3 linked regions of the Danio rerio genome follow. The protein of the gene in region 3 interacts with the protein of the main gene of each other region in a biochemical or structural test. Links are inferred from orthologs where the notes say so. Each region holds a gene or a part of one and is shown on either strand. Other genes may lie near its edges. The genes, in order: rgs4, ric8a and gnaq.

Region 1 (5,660 bases), on a different chromosome or scaffold from region 3:
TGACTGAGTGGACTTTAACCTGGGTGTTATGAAATCAAGATGCGAAGCTTCTCAGTACCAAATTACCTCATCAAGATTTTGCGCTGAATAAATCGACATCTGATTTAACAGTATAGAACTACTAGAATGGCCATTACAGTCATTCTGTTCATATTTGTCAAATCATATTTAAATTTGAAGCGTCAACTGTAATTTTAGAACACTGAAATAGTGAAAGCATGTTTTTTTTAAGTCTAAATGCCAACAAATATGTATATAATATTTATAAAATAAAAAAAATGAAAATATTTGGAGATAATATTATACATCAGGAAACAAATTAAAATTCATTTCAAATATGTATTAGTTCACATAAGAACCACAGAATCAGAGTGCAGCTTAGGTATACATTTGAAGTAACAATAGTCTGTTATTATCTTTGATATAATAGCTATAAAAACGTCACCAATATGCATTTTTAGATTTGTGTATGAAAGAAATTGCATAAACTTAAATAATAAAAAGTCGTGGTGCATAGTATTATTTGTTTATTAATTTTCTTTTGGCTTAGTCCCTTTATTCATCAGGGGTCGCCGAAACAGAATGAACCAACAACCTATTCAGCATTTGTATTGGGCAATGGATGCCCTTCCAGCCGCAACCCAGTACTGGGAAACATCCATACACACTCACACACATACACTACAGCCAACTCACCTATAGCGCATGTCTTTGAACTCTGGGGGAAACCGTAGCACCCAGATGAAACCCATGTCAATACGGGGTGAGCATGCAAACTCCACACAGAAATGCCAACTGACCCAGTCGGGACTCGATCCAGTGACCTGCTTGCTGTGAGGTGACAGTGCTCACCACTGAGCCACAGTGTCGCCCCATAGTAGTATGGTATGGTATGGTATATTTGTAAATAAAATATGTTATTGAATACCATGTAGTGTGCATGTAATAATATAATATGTCACAATTTTTGTTTGTATATTTTAGATTTTTATGTTTGTATTCATAAAGTTTAAAAATACTCACCACACACACAAATATATTATGTAAATATTAACTTTTGTTTCAAATGTAAATTGTTTTTCAACAACAAGATGGATCTGTCCATTTCTAGGTTACAGAGGTGTGGGTTCTTCTATTGGTTTGCAGTGATCAGATGTGCTGTGTGCTGTGATTTAGTGCATCATCTTTCAGGCTCCTGACAGTCGCTTTCCTTCTGTTTCATTGTATTGCAGTCTTTTCAGGGAATGGCTTGTCTGTGCTATTAGCCTGAGTGAATTGAAATTGCAGCAAATGCATCAGATAGTGAATGATATTGGGACCAGAATGACCTCTTTTCTACTTTGTTATATGTGTCTGTTATTATAGCTGGTGTCTTCCTGAAAATTCTATGCGAGATACAAATAATAAGCTTGAGTGTGTGTTTGTGCTTGTGTGTGTGTGTGTGTGCACGTGTGTGTGTATGTGTGCGTGTGTGTGTATGTGTGTGTGAGTGTGTGTGTGTGTGTGTGTGTGTGTGTGTGTGTTTGTGTGTGTGTGTGTTTTCACGAATCTAAACATGCATGTGCTTATTTACATAATGCATAGAATATACAGAGTAATTTTTTGACTATACATTTGTATAATGCCAAGTTCAAAGCTGCTCCAAATTGAGAAGGCCCATATTTTAGATTTGTTTTTTAATACAAACAATTTTTACTTGTATAAAATGCTTTTTCACATTTACTGTAAGTGTTTTTTTCTTTGCTGCCTATATTAATTACAATAAATATTGTAATTATATATATAGTTAAAGTCAGAATTATTAGCCCCCTTTGAATTTCTTTGCTTTTTTTAAATATTTCCCAAATGACGTTCAACAGAGCAAGGACATTTTCACAGTATGTCTGATAATATTTTTTTCTTCTGGAGAAAGTCTTATTTGTTTTATTTCGGCTAGAATAAAAGCAGTTTCAACTGTACTTACTTCAACTGTATATATATATATAAAACCCAAAATCAGAAATAGTTGGGACAGTATGGAAAATGCAAGTAAAAAGAAAGTAGTGATTTTTAAATTGGCAACGCAAGGGAGCAGTAGGTAGTGCTGTCGCCTCACAGCAAGCAGGTTGCTGGGTCACAGGTTCAAGCCTCTGCTGGGTCAGTTGGCATTTCTGTGTGGAGTTTGCATGTTCTCCCTGCATTCGCGTGGGTTTCCTTCGGGTGCTCCAGTTTCCCCCACAGTCCAAAGACATGCAGTACAGGTGAATTGGGTAGGCTAAATTGTCCGTAGTGTGTGTGTGTGTGTGTGTGTGTGTGTGTGTGTGTGTGTGTATGTGTGTGTGTGTGTGTTTCCCAGAGACGGGTTGCGGCTGGAAGGGCATCCGCTGCGTAAAAATGTGCTGGATAAGTTGGCGGTTCATTCCGCTGTGGCGACCCCGGATTAATAAAGGGACTAAAGGCTGATTTATACTTCTGCGTCAAACGCCGGCGTATGCTACAGCGCTGATGCATAGCCCTTCGCCGTGGCCGTCGGCGTCACTAACGTGCACCTCTCAAAAAATGTAACTACCATAGACTGTAAAATATATGGACGTAGTATCCGTGACGTCACCCATAGGTTTCTGAAGAGCGCAAAAGAAGCCACAAGTAGGCGCGGCCAACCGTCGCCATTTTGGTCACGCGTCATCACACCCACGGCGGGATACCAAACAAGGGCAAAGAGGCGGAGAGTGAGCGGAGCTACAGACACCTGCTCGTTTGTATTCTGACCACTTGTGCTTGGTTGTACACTATATCAATAAAGTGTTTAGACTTTTAAAAACACGGCTGTAATACATTGAGCCACTAAACATTGTTCTTATGACGTTTTTCAACAGGAGGAAAACGCGAATTACTTCCAAACACTTCAGATATAGTCTGTGTTAGTAAATGTAAGACTATTGATGAAATCCAGCATAACACTGTATGACAACGCTTCAGATGACTGTTCTAGAGCCTACAGCTAATCAATCTGACAGATTCTGGAGTGCATTACAGCTCTAAATATAAATATAAACGATAAATGATCTTAAATAAAACAAATACATGTACAGAGATGGTATATAAGTATATAACTTTACTCACATGGGAAACGGAGGCCACGTGAATGGTTTGTGAGCACAATTAAGTGCCCTCAGCATGCCATGCCATCTAATAATTGTGGGAAACAAGTCCAAAAGGCAGTTGACTGTGTAAAGCCACATAAAACAACACAGAAATACGATAAATATGCCGAGTTCAGTGGCTAATCTGCAGGATTCAGCTGAGGTGACGTGACGGCGACCAGCGAGACCTAGCTGTCAATCAAGTGGCCACGCCCTTAATTATGCAAACTTAATATAACTTAATATAAAAGAAACGGATGAGTTATAAAAAAAATTCACCCCCTAACAGTTGTCATGAAGGGTGATATTACCTGTATTAACCAAAATCATTTTTTGTACCAGGCTGTAAACACCTTTTTTTCTGCTGTAAAGTTGGCCATTCTAACAGTGGGCTCAATTGAAATTTGCTCTGTTTTGGAGCCAGGAGCGGCCAGGACTAGCGGAATTTCGCATGAATTGCAGTTTTAGTTACTTCCGTATTGGTACAGGGAGAGCGGGAGGTTGCCGCTTGGTAACTACACGTCGCAACGACGCGTAGCGCAAGCTCTGTGATTGGTCGGCTTGGTAGCGATGAAGAGTCTGGGCGGGACCGAGCACCGCGTGAATGGCGCGAGCGATTGTTTACAAGTGTGGAGTCCCGAGAAGGAGCTCTGGATGGAAAGTTTTGTTTTGTGTTTACCTCATAGTTAAAGTTGTTGCACGTCCGCCGGTTCCTGCCTCAAAATGAACGAGTTTGAGTCACTTGTACAACCAGGAAGTGTTCAGGAAAAGCAAAACAGAAGCGAAGAAACTCGACACAGAGGAACATTTACACCTCACTGCCAACTAGCGTTCCGGAAGTGTTAATGCAGACCAACAGAGACAGCGCGCAGAAGTATAAATGCACAGCTGCGCACGTTGCCTGCGCCGTGAGTTACGCCGGTCACTTGAAGCAGAAGTATAAACCAGGCTTAAGCCGACAAGAAAATGAATGAATGAATGGATTTCTAGATTTACTTTGACCTGTATTTCAATACAGACACTATGCAAATGCAAAACTACTAAATATTTCATGTTTTGTCTGGTCAACTTAATTTCATTAGTAAATATGCATTATTTCCTGCCATTCAGACATGCAACACACAAGTTTGGACAGGAGCAATTTGACTGCATCCAAGAAAGGTCTAGTCCTTTTGCCTACAAATACGTGAGAAAATTATTGGAATGTTTAAAAATAATGTTTCTTAAAGAAAGAGAGGAAGACTTTTTGATGTTTCACCTTCATCAGTACATAGCATAATTAAAAGATTCAAGGAATCTAGAGACATTTTAGTGCGCAAAGAACAAGGCCACAGGCCTAAGATGAACAAGCATGATCCCACAGGCAGCACTGCATCAAGAATCCTCATTCATATAAGTGATATCCCCACATGGGCTCAGAACTACTTTGGCAAATTTTTGTCATAAGTACCACAGAACATCCACAAAGGCCTCTTAAAATTGTACTGTGTCAAAAGGAATGTTAACAGGGTCCAGAAGCACTGTTAATACATAGCGATTTTGGAGCACAATATGCTGCCTTCTTTTTCAGGGACGCCTATGCATTTTTCAATGCAAAACTACATTCTGCACACATTACCAAGTCTAGGTTTCAGAAGAAGAGGATACAGGTACTTGACTGGCCTGTCTTCAATACATAATGTGTGGTGCATTTTGAAGCGCAAATTACAAACTGGCAAATGCTTTACTGTTCCATTTTTTTATGTCACAAAAATCAAAATTGGAATATGTGTTTATTTTTGAAAATTTGTAAAAAAAAGATGCTCTTTCATTGTTTGCGGTGAAATACAAGTCAAAGTAACATTTGACTTTAACAAAGCAAAAAATTTAAAGAGCTTTATCCAATATTCTGATTTTTATGCTATAAATCTCTGCAGATTAGTGTATGTATACTTAATAAAACAATGATTGAATAAAATAAATTAAATAGTTTTTATATTTGAACATCACATTTTACAATCTTTTTATATATTCAAAACATGCAATTTTTAATCTATCAACTGAGAAAATATAATAATAGTGGTTAATTTTTCTGCTGTTATCTTATTGGTCATTTTACTCTCCAACCATGCAAAAAAAAAAAACAATTTGATCCAGTTATATAAGAGAAGTGCTGCAGCTACTGTACGTGTCTCATGTTGCATATAGAAGAAAAGTATTTGGCAGTGGTTTACTGACCCGCAGCCGGGGTCTGTAGGGGATCTGCTGTCCTAAAGTTTTGGCTGTGGGAGAGAGACTAGAAAACTCTGGACACAAGGAGGAGTGTTGGAACATGTTCACTTACATCGTGAAACCCAAGGATGACGTCACTGCCACTATCATGTTGGAAATGTCAAAAACACATCCGTTGCCTCGGGTCATCAGCCTGGGTATTTTAGGCTATCAAGGTTGTACAGCAAAGATGTTACATGTGTTGCGTAAAAAAAGTGAGAGTCTGACTGCTGTCAAGATATATATATATTTACCTGAAATATTTACCTGAAAGCCTTAATTCAAAGA
Region 2 (5,097 bases), on a different chromosome or scaffold from region 3:
AATAATATTTAACCCAAGTCTCACCTCGTCCACATGGCGTCGGTTGGAATCAAACGTAACATTGAAGAGGATCTTGAGGATCTCCATGACTCTCTCGGTCTCTTGTCTGCCCAGCGGGGGCAGCTCTGAGCAGCCGTCGAACCCAGCCCGCGCCACCTCATACATGTCCGGCCAGCAGAGTCCAAAGGTGGCGTCCAAAGCCTCGGACAGCAGACTGACCCCGCGCAGCTCGTGTGCCAGCTGAGCCCGCACGTCCACACGCAGGGCGGTGATCAGGAACGTAAGGCGCAGATCGAAGAAACGCACGTCATGGTTCCACTGTGGTTCCCGGCACTGTTTCAGCCGCTCTGCTAAACCCACCATCAACTGCAGGTCAGCTGCGGCCTCCTGCGCTGCTTCGCTGTTAAACACGATGTTGCATAAGCACTTCAGAGCCTCCACGATCACCTAAGTGGGCCATTTGGAAGAAAAAATATCATATTACAAATGTATTTTTTTATATTTATTTTTGCAGGTGTTGGGTTTGCTTTTAATCACGTGACTCTTCTTTTAATTGAGCCGAATTTCAGCTTCGTTGTTTATCGTACCGCTATATACATTTCTGTGGACCGTCAAATAGGGGGTAATAGGAGGTAAATTTTTGGCGGTTTTTGTTTTTGCAAATTCATGAGAGGCTGCTTTGTACGCTTTTTGAGATCTCAAATTTCACTCCTGAGTGTCATTTGCGCCTGCTCTTCTCTCGTAAATCCACCAGAGGCCGCTGTCGACTGACTGACTGACTGACCAATCAACTAACCCACCCTCCTTCCTTAAATCCAACCAATCAGTCCTCTCCTCTCTGCATCTAAAGTCCACCTACATACTTCTGGCAACATAACTCACGTTCTCCAGAAATGTATATAGGGCTACGTTTTCAGAATGAGCCTTTGTTGGTTTTTGCAGTGTACAGGGAGAACTGAGAGGCAATTAAACCCTCCTGATCGGTAATGGGATTGCTTGAAATTTTACTCACCCCTCACGAAGGAATCGCACAGTTGAATCCGAGCTACGATCCAATTGAGGTGAACTCAGTGTTTGAGTTCTTCTCGCGGACGAAAGATAAGCGGGGGTGGGGCTAGGTTATTGGGGGCCAATGGGGTGGCCATGATTATGTTGATCGTGGCCATGGCTACCCCCCTAGCGCCGTCCCCGGTTAAGACTTGAGACTTAGATAAGCCACAGTCACACTAGAGTCTGTGCTTGCGAAATTTATCTCACCGGCAAAAGATAAGCGGTAGGGGGTGGTGTTTGGGTTATTACAAGTGGGGTGGCCATGATTATGTTGATGGTGGTTAGGGCTACCCCCCTAGCTCCGTCCCTGGTTGAGACTTAGGACTTACTTAAGCCGCAGCCACACTAGAGTTTGTGTTTGCGAAATTCATCTCACAAATAAAAGATAAGCAGGCGGGGTGGTGTTTGGGTTAATACGATTGGGGTGGCCATGATTATGTTGATGATGATCATGGCTACACCCCTAGCTTCATCCCTGGTTAAGACTTGAGACTTACTTAAGCCGCAGTAACACTAGAGTCTGTGCTTGCGAAATTCATCTCACGAATAAAAGATAAGCGGGTGGGGGTGGTGTTTGGGTTATTATGAGTGGGGTGGCCAATGTGGTGGTTATGATTATGTTGATGATGGTCATGGCTACCCCTCTAGCTCCATCCCTGGTTAAGACTCGAGACTTACTTAAGCCGCAGCCACACTAGTTTGTGCTTGCCAAATTCATCTCACGAATGAAAGATAAGCGAGTGGGGGTGGTGTTTGGGTTATTATAAGTGGGGTGGGCAATGTGATGGCCATGATTATGTTGATTGTGTCTGTAGCTACCCCCCTAGTTCTGTCCCTGGTTAAGACTTGAGACTCACTTAAGCCGCGGCCACACTAGAGTTTGTGTTTGCGAAATTCATCTCACAAATAAAAGATAAGCAGGTGGGGGTGGTGTTTGGGTTATTACGAGTGGGGTGGCCAATGGAGTGGCCATGATTATGTTGATGGTGGCCATGGCTACCCCCCTAGCTCCATCCCTGGTTAAGACTCGAGACTTACTTAAGCCGCAGCCACACTAGTTTGTGCTTGCCAAATTCATCTCACGAATGAAAGATAAGCGGGTGGGGGTGGTGTTTGGGTTATTACGAGTGGGGTGGCCAATGGAGTGGCCATGATTATGTTGATGGTTGCCATGGCTACCCCCCTAGCTCCATCCCTGGTTAAGACTTGAGACTTACTTAAGCCGCAGTCAAACTAGAGTCTGTGCTTGCGAAATTTATCTCACCGGCAAAAGAGAGGGAAAAAAAAAAAAAAAAGTATGATTCCCTTACTTATATACAGAGTAATACCAAAGCTATTAAGACATCCAAGCTGCTGGAAAAAATACTAAACGTACATGATAATTTTTTGTTGTTAATTCCATTGCATACTGATTTATGTATAATTCTGTACTCCCCTGTTCAATCAATAAAAAAATTAAATAAAAAAAAGAATATTGTGCCTGAAGACATCAAACTTACATCATCACAGATGGACCGCCACTCCAAATGCAAAAGATAATGCTCATACTTTGATTGAAGATCACCAATACATTTTTTAGTTGATTAACCTGCACGGATCAATTATTCACTTAAAGAATAACAATGTGCGCTAGCAAAATAAACATGCCCATTTTGATTTCACACAGACTTTAACAAAAAATTGTACCAATCTTTTATGACAAATAAAAGTAAATCAGAAGCAATGAATGATTTAATTATGGTGAAAGTCATATGCAACTGATTGAAAATGCACTGTTGCGCAATATAACAATATTTTCTGATAAAGTCATAGCGGCATTTTAATCATTCATGATCAAATATCGACATTATAGCATACCCTTACCTCTAAATCTGGGATCTCTGGGGTGACGCCCTCTCCCTGCCCAAGCCCTGCATGTCGAATCAGGATCTGCATAGCATGGCGGGTGGCGAACGGAGACAGGCTCTTCTTGTCCCGGGACAGGATGCGGATGGTCTCTAGGCAGGCCAGCTGGCAGGATGGCTGGAGGTCTCTCTCCAAAAAGCTTAACACTAACTCACCCAGACGCTGAGAAATGAGAAAACAAGAGAGTAATATGGTGGAAACCATCTACTATTGGTTTACATGCCTGCATTTCTCCACTGCTTTTGTTTCAATGCACCTTATGAAAATTGCTTAGCGGCATATATGTTCAGCAAACTTTTACTACTTAAGGATGACTAGGCCCACATGAAATCTGTGCGCACAGAAATCCGCAGATTTTTAGCCCATCATTGAGTCTATTTATTATTTGCCCATCATTGAGTCTATTTATTATTAGCCCATTATTGAGTCTATTTATTATTTGCCCATCATTAAGTCTATTTATTATTAGCCCATTACTGAGTCTATTTATTATTAGCCCATTATTAAGTCTATTTATTATTAGCCCATTATTGAATCTATTTATTATAAGCCCATTATTGAGTCTATTTATTATTAGCCCATTATTGAGTCTATTTATTATTAGCCCATTATTGAATCTATTTATTATAAGCACATTATTGAGTCTATTTATTATTAGCCTATTATTGAGTGTATTTATTATTAGCCCATCATTGATCTATTTATTATTAGCCCATCATTGAGTCTATTTATTATTAGCCCATCATTGAGTCTATTTATTATTAGCCCATCATTAAGTCTATTTACTATTAGTCCATCATTGAGTCTATTTATTATTAGCCCATCATTGAGTCTATTTATTATTAGCCCATCATTGAGTCTATTTATTATTAGCCCATCATTGAGTCTATTTATTATTAGCCCATCATTAAGTCTTTTTATTATTAGCCCATCATTGAGTCTATTTATTATTAGATCATTATTGAGTCTATTTATAATTAGCCCATTATTAAGTCTATTTATTATTAGCCCATCACTGAGTCTATTTATTATTAGCCCATCATTAAGTCTATTTATTATTAGCCCATCATTGAGTCTATTTATTATTAGCCCATTATTGAGTGTATTTATTATTAGCCCATTATTGAGTCTATTTATTATTAGCCCATTATTGAATCTCTTTATTATTAGCTGATTATTGAGTGTATTTATTATTAACCCATTAATGAGTCTATTTTTTATTATCCCATTATTGAGTCTATTTATTATTAGCCCATTACGGGGTCTATTTATCATTATCCCACCATTGAGTCTATTTATTATAAGCCCATTATTAAGTCTATTTATCATTATTCCACAATTGAGTCTATTTATTATTAGCCCATTATTGAGTCTATTTATTATTAGCCCACAATTGAGTCTATTTATTATTAGCCCATCATTGAGTCTATTTATTGTTAACCCATCATTGAGTCTGTTTATTTTAAGCCCATCATTGAGTCTATTGAGTCTATTTATTATTAGCCCATCATTAAGTCTATTTATTATAAGCCCATCATTGAGTCTATTTATTATTAACCCATCATTGAGTCTATTTATTGTTAACCCATCATTGAGTCTGTTTATTATTAGCACATTATTGAGTATTTATTTTATTGTGTAAATGTGTTTAAATTTATATTTATTTAGTTTTTAAATAAATTTTAGAAATATTATTGACTAATATGAAAATGTTCATTTGATTTATTTACAATACGGTTTGTAAAGTAATATTTTCTGTCTTTTAGTAAATATATTATACGAGACTTGCTTTTGTTTTAATAATTGGATAAGCATTGTAAATATTAAATAAAACTTAAAAAACTATTATTTTATTTTATAAAAAATAGATAATCATAAAAAAGATTAATACAATAAAATTTTGGTGATTAAGAAAAACTTATTGATAGAAACGGGTTTTAGTCGCATAACACTTGGTTAATGAAAATGGCACTAGTACTTTTTAATTAACATTTACAAAATATTGTACAATTTTAGTACAAATGAATGGAAACTTGCCTACGCAGCTTTCAAACTGAAGCCTGAAGAAAATGTCATAGACAAAAATCCATTAAACTACTTTTCTAAAAATGCTATTAAATACATATTAGTTGTAAATAATTA
Region 3 (4,409 bases):
TCTTAGATGCTGCATTTGTACCAAATCAAAATTACAATCACTTGTTAACATCACTTGTTTCTAATCACATCATTTAATTTATCTGATTACTAGCCCTAAACTGCTCCTGACCCAACTTTTTTTTGTAAAGAAACAAAAACAAACAAAAAAAAAAAACAAAGAAAAAGAAGTTGACTAGACAAAACATGAAATATTTTGTGTTCATATAGTCTGCAAGTCAAATCAAAGTAAATTTGCAAATTACTTTTTTTTGTTGTTGTTGTTTACTTGATTTTCCATAACATCCCAACCTTTTCTGATTTGAGCTGTGCTTACCAGGAAAAAACATTGAATGTTCAATACCTATTTTACCTGCTTTATAAACTTCATTACTAAGAGCTTTAATTTAAGCCAAAAAAAGCAGCAAGAAGAGGCAACATCGGTTTGGTCCTTTACTCTTGACTGAACACAAAACATTCATTTCTTTGACATACATCAAACCACATGATACTCTTTTTACAAATCCTACTATCTTTAAAAACAACTGCACATACTGACCAAAGCTTGAATTCACTATACTAATCACAGGGTCAAGTCAGTACAAAAAAAGAGCATCATTTGCTCACTGAGACATGTGTTGGGTAATTTATATATAAAAAAAGCAACTGTTGCAGAAAATATCTAAAGGGCACATTTGTAGTTTAAAATAAAAATGACTGCACAGGAATCGGCTCTATTGGCACATCGTTAAGGCTTGATGTTGAACATTGATAATTTTTAATGAATCAGATCATGAACAGCAGTATGGTATAGAAGTAATTGGCAATGGTAGTTTTTAGCATGTGGTGCAATTATACCACATTTATAGCTATTATAGTTTGGCAATAAAACAAACTGCCACATTAGAAGAACTTTGGCACTTTTAATGTATATGCTTATTTAATCTTGATGAGTATTATTCCCCAAAGCATGTTTGGCGAAATGTAAAAAAGACCCTACTCTACTAAGCTTACTCTGAAACTGTAACATGATATTTTCCTTTTAAAAGTCAATGAAGTACTTTTCATTGCTCTTTAATGATCTTACCACACAGAATCTTTAATATACCCAAAATAGAGGATTCTACGTAACATTTATAGCAAGAAGTTTAACGCTTAAAATAAAAGAAAAAACTAATTATAGCTTACTTATTTAATCTTTGATAATATGCGCAATATTTGTTTTCATTAAAGTGATATAACAACATTTAAACTGAACCCCAAAGAGAAGCTCTGAGGTGCAAATAAATAACAGCAGTCAAGAGCAGATTGTGTTACAGTTCTTAAATATAAATAACTTGTGTGTCCAGTTTCATTGAGCAGAATCCGGGAGGAAAGACAGCTCGAACAATAAAAGCAGATTTTAAATGCTCTCTGCATTAACCGATGAGTGCCTTTAACCAGGCAAGATGATGACAAAAACCAGAACTAGCCTCTTTCACACCAGATTGTATTCTTTAAGCGTGAGCTGCAAGATTGTGTCTTTGACAGCAGCAAACACAAATCGAATGTTTTCCGTGTCAGTGGCACATGTGAAATGAGAATAAATGATTTTCTCTGAGTCTGGATTCAGGTCGACAAACATCTTCAGGATGAACTCCCGTGCAGTTTGAGCATCTCTCTGAGGTCCTTAAAGAGGAAAATACATTTTGGTTAACTGCGGTCAAACCTAAAACTGAAATGTAATTCTCATAACCAGACCAGATAGAATCTGCTGATCATTTTAGCTCTTTCTGCACATTATTTTGAAAAAACAAATGCAGAATGATTAAGAGTTGGTGCTCAAAACCTAAATAACTTTTTACAATCAAATACAGTTGAAGTCAGAATTATTAGCCTCCCTTTTATTTTATTTTTAAAATATTTGCCAAATGATTTTTAACAGAGCAAGGACATTTTCACAATATGTCTGATACTAGTTTTTCTTCAGGAGAAAGTCTTGATTGTTTTATTTAGCTAGAATAAAAGCAGTTTTTAATTTTTTAATAAACATATAAGGTCATAAATGTTTAGCCCCTTAAGGCTTTTTTTTTTCTTTGATTATCTGCAGGACAAACCATTGACATACAAAATTTAATTACCCTAATCTGCCTAGTTAACGCATGCAGATTCCTTGTGGGCCTATAACCCCTTATTCCAAAACATAAACAGGGTTTCTGCAGATTTCATCAAGCTAAATTTAAGACATTTTAAGATTATTATGAACAAAATTTTAAACTTACATAGAGCTAAATTATAAGGATTTTTTTAATATGCCTGTCAGAAAAGATTTTCAGTTGCCCTACCAAAATATTTTTTGAAATTTAATACATTTAATAACACAGTAATAATAATTTTGTTTGAATATTGATTCATTCATTTTATTTTCTTGTTACTTTTATTGTAATATGAGGTTGCCACAGCTGAATGAACTGCCAAATTATCCAGCATATGTTTTACTTAGCGAATGCCCTTCCAGCCGCAACCCATCACTGGGAAACATTCACACACAAACTCATACACTACGATCAATTTAGCTTACCCAATTCACCTATAGCACATGTCTTTGGACTTGTGGGGGAAACTGGAGCAAACCCACGCTAACATGGGGAGAACATGCAAACTCCACACTGAAATGCCAATTGACCCAGCCGAGGCTTGAACCAGTGACCTTCTTGCTGTGAGGCGATTGTGCCATCCACTGCGCCACTGTGATGCCTTTGTTTGAATATTTTAAAATAAATTTTCAAATATATCCATTCACAAACCCTATAACCCTTACCAAGAATAGAACAAAACAAAGCTGCCTATTACTTCAGTCCACAATAATAATAGTTTAATAATAACATATATAGGTCAGCATTCTCAGCAGTATATAAATTATATTTTTAAATAAAATGTGGTTGATTGTATAGGTGTTAATGGTCAGATTGGGTAGCCGTACATGATCAAAGAAAAATTAATACCTGTTGAAAAAGATTTAGGACCTACAACACAAAATTTCAGTGAATGTAAAATTTTTTAAGGGCCTTAAATTTAGTTTTTGAGATTTTCAACATTTTAAGACTTTTTAAGACCCCGTGGATACCCTGATGAATATATTAGTGTATATTTATAAGACAGTTTTGAGCTAAAAACATAAAATAGTTTAAGCATGTTGTCTGTTCAATAACAACAAAAACGTTTGAAATTGATACCATTATTGACCTCATTCTTGAATGCGGAAGTGTGCTCATTTTTGTGATTGTTTTAGAACTTCCGATTCAGTCGCCTATGGGAGAAATGACTAGGGACAATAAACAGCGGACAGCGGTCAAACTACTTGCTCTACAAACAAGCTTTTGCATGACTATACAGACCAAGTAGAATAATATAATAAGAAAATATAAGTTTGCAACATTAAGTAGCATAACAAGCTGTTTTTAATGTCTAAAAATGATTATTTTAGAATTTTAAAAAGTGAAATCATCAAATACTAGTCTAAACAGCAAATTATAGTTGGGTATTTTGTTGATCTGGGTAAACAGGATTCATTTTGAGGATGGGATTTTAAAGCATTTCTCTTATATATATATTACCAATGGGAAAATGGCTTAAGTCATGCAAGTCAGGAGTACTAATAAAATGTAACACTGTAAATCAATTCATTTGCTAAGCATTAGCAAATCAGTCTAATAGCTGTAATCAGTGTATCACAATTTTCATAGTTTTTAATTTGTCCTAAAATCTGATGGAACTCTGTGTTTTTAAACTTACCATCATATTCGGGAAAGTAATCTACAAGATGTGAAAACATTATTTTCTCTTCCAAAAGGTCTTTCTTGTTCAGAAAAAGAATAACAGATGAATTCTGAAACCAGGGGTATGTTATTATCGTCCTAAACAATGCTTTGCTTTCCTCCATTCGATTCTGTAGGGGAAAATAACATAACAAGCCCATTTCAGTGGTTATTTTTATACAGCTTTAGTCCAGAAATCAACACTAACTGAATGTTCGCTGCTTTTGACAATTTCAGAGAAAAAAATAAAGTGCTTTCTTTCAAACATTGCTAAAATGAGCACAGATTCTCATTTAAGGTTCAGAATGAAAACATATTTTGTTCTCAATTGGTCATGTGATCACATGAACACCGAGGCAGCATTGCACACCACAAACCAAATGCATTTTTTTTTTAAGTATAATTTTTCTGGTGTTACAAATGCATGTTGCTTAACGCACAGTGTATTTTAAGAGTAATATTTAGTATTGGTTTGGAAAGTAAAAAAAATAAATAAATAATTGTTATGTGCTCCCTCTACTACTTCGTATTTGAGTAGTAAGCAAGCAATTAATAAGAAATAATTTTAACAATTCAAAAGGTATTTTACACTTTACAATATTTCTTTTTTCAATTACTATACACTAGCCCTTGG

What was found.
Region 1: the proteins of gnaq (region 3) and rgs4 form a complex in vitro, tested with the Homo sapiens proteins (3 studies listed by BioGRID). The link is inferred for Danio rerio from reciprocal best matches to the Homo sapiens genes GNAQ and RGS4.
Region 2: the proteins of gnaq (region 3) and ric8a form a complex in vitro, tested with the Homo sapiens proteins (2 studies listed by BioGRID). The link is inferred for Danio rerio from reciprocal best matches to the Homo sapiens genes GNAQ and RIC8A.

What each region holds. Positions count from the first base shown.
Region 1 is NC_133181.1:37,874,822-37,880,481, reverse strand, and holds the start of rgs4 (regulator of G-protein signaling 4), read right to left. Parts: upstream 3,609-5,660; 5' UTR 3,222-3,608; coding exon 3,103-3,221; intron 1-3,102. UniProt on the Homo sapiens protein: Inhibits signal transduction by increasing the GTPase activity of G protein alpha subunits thereby driving them into their inactive GDP-bound form. Activity on G(z)-alpha is inhibited by phosphorylation of the G-protein.
Region 2 is NC_133200.1:11,285,850-11,290,946, reverse strand, and holds part of ric8a (chaperone Ric-8A), read right to left. Parts: intron 3,118-5,097; coding exon 2,914-3,117; intron 448-2,913; coding exon 25-447; intron 1-24.
Region 3 is NC_133180.1:60,900,509-60,904,917, forward strand, and holds the end of gnaq (guanine nucleotide-binding protein G(q) subunit alpha), read right to left. Parts: intron 3,907-4,409; coding exon 3,753-3,906; intron 1,647-3,752; coding exon 1,456-1,646; 3' UTR 1,453-1,455; downstream 1-1,452.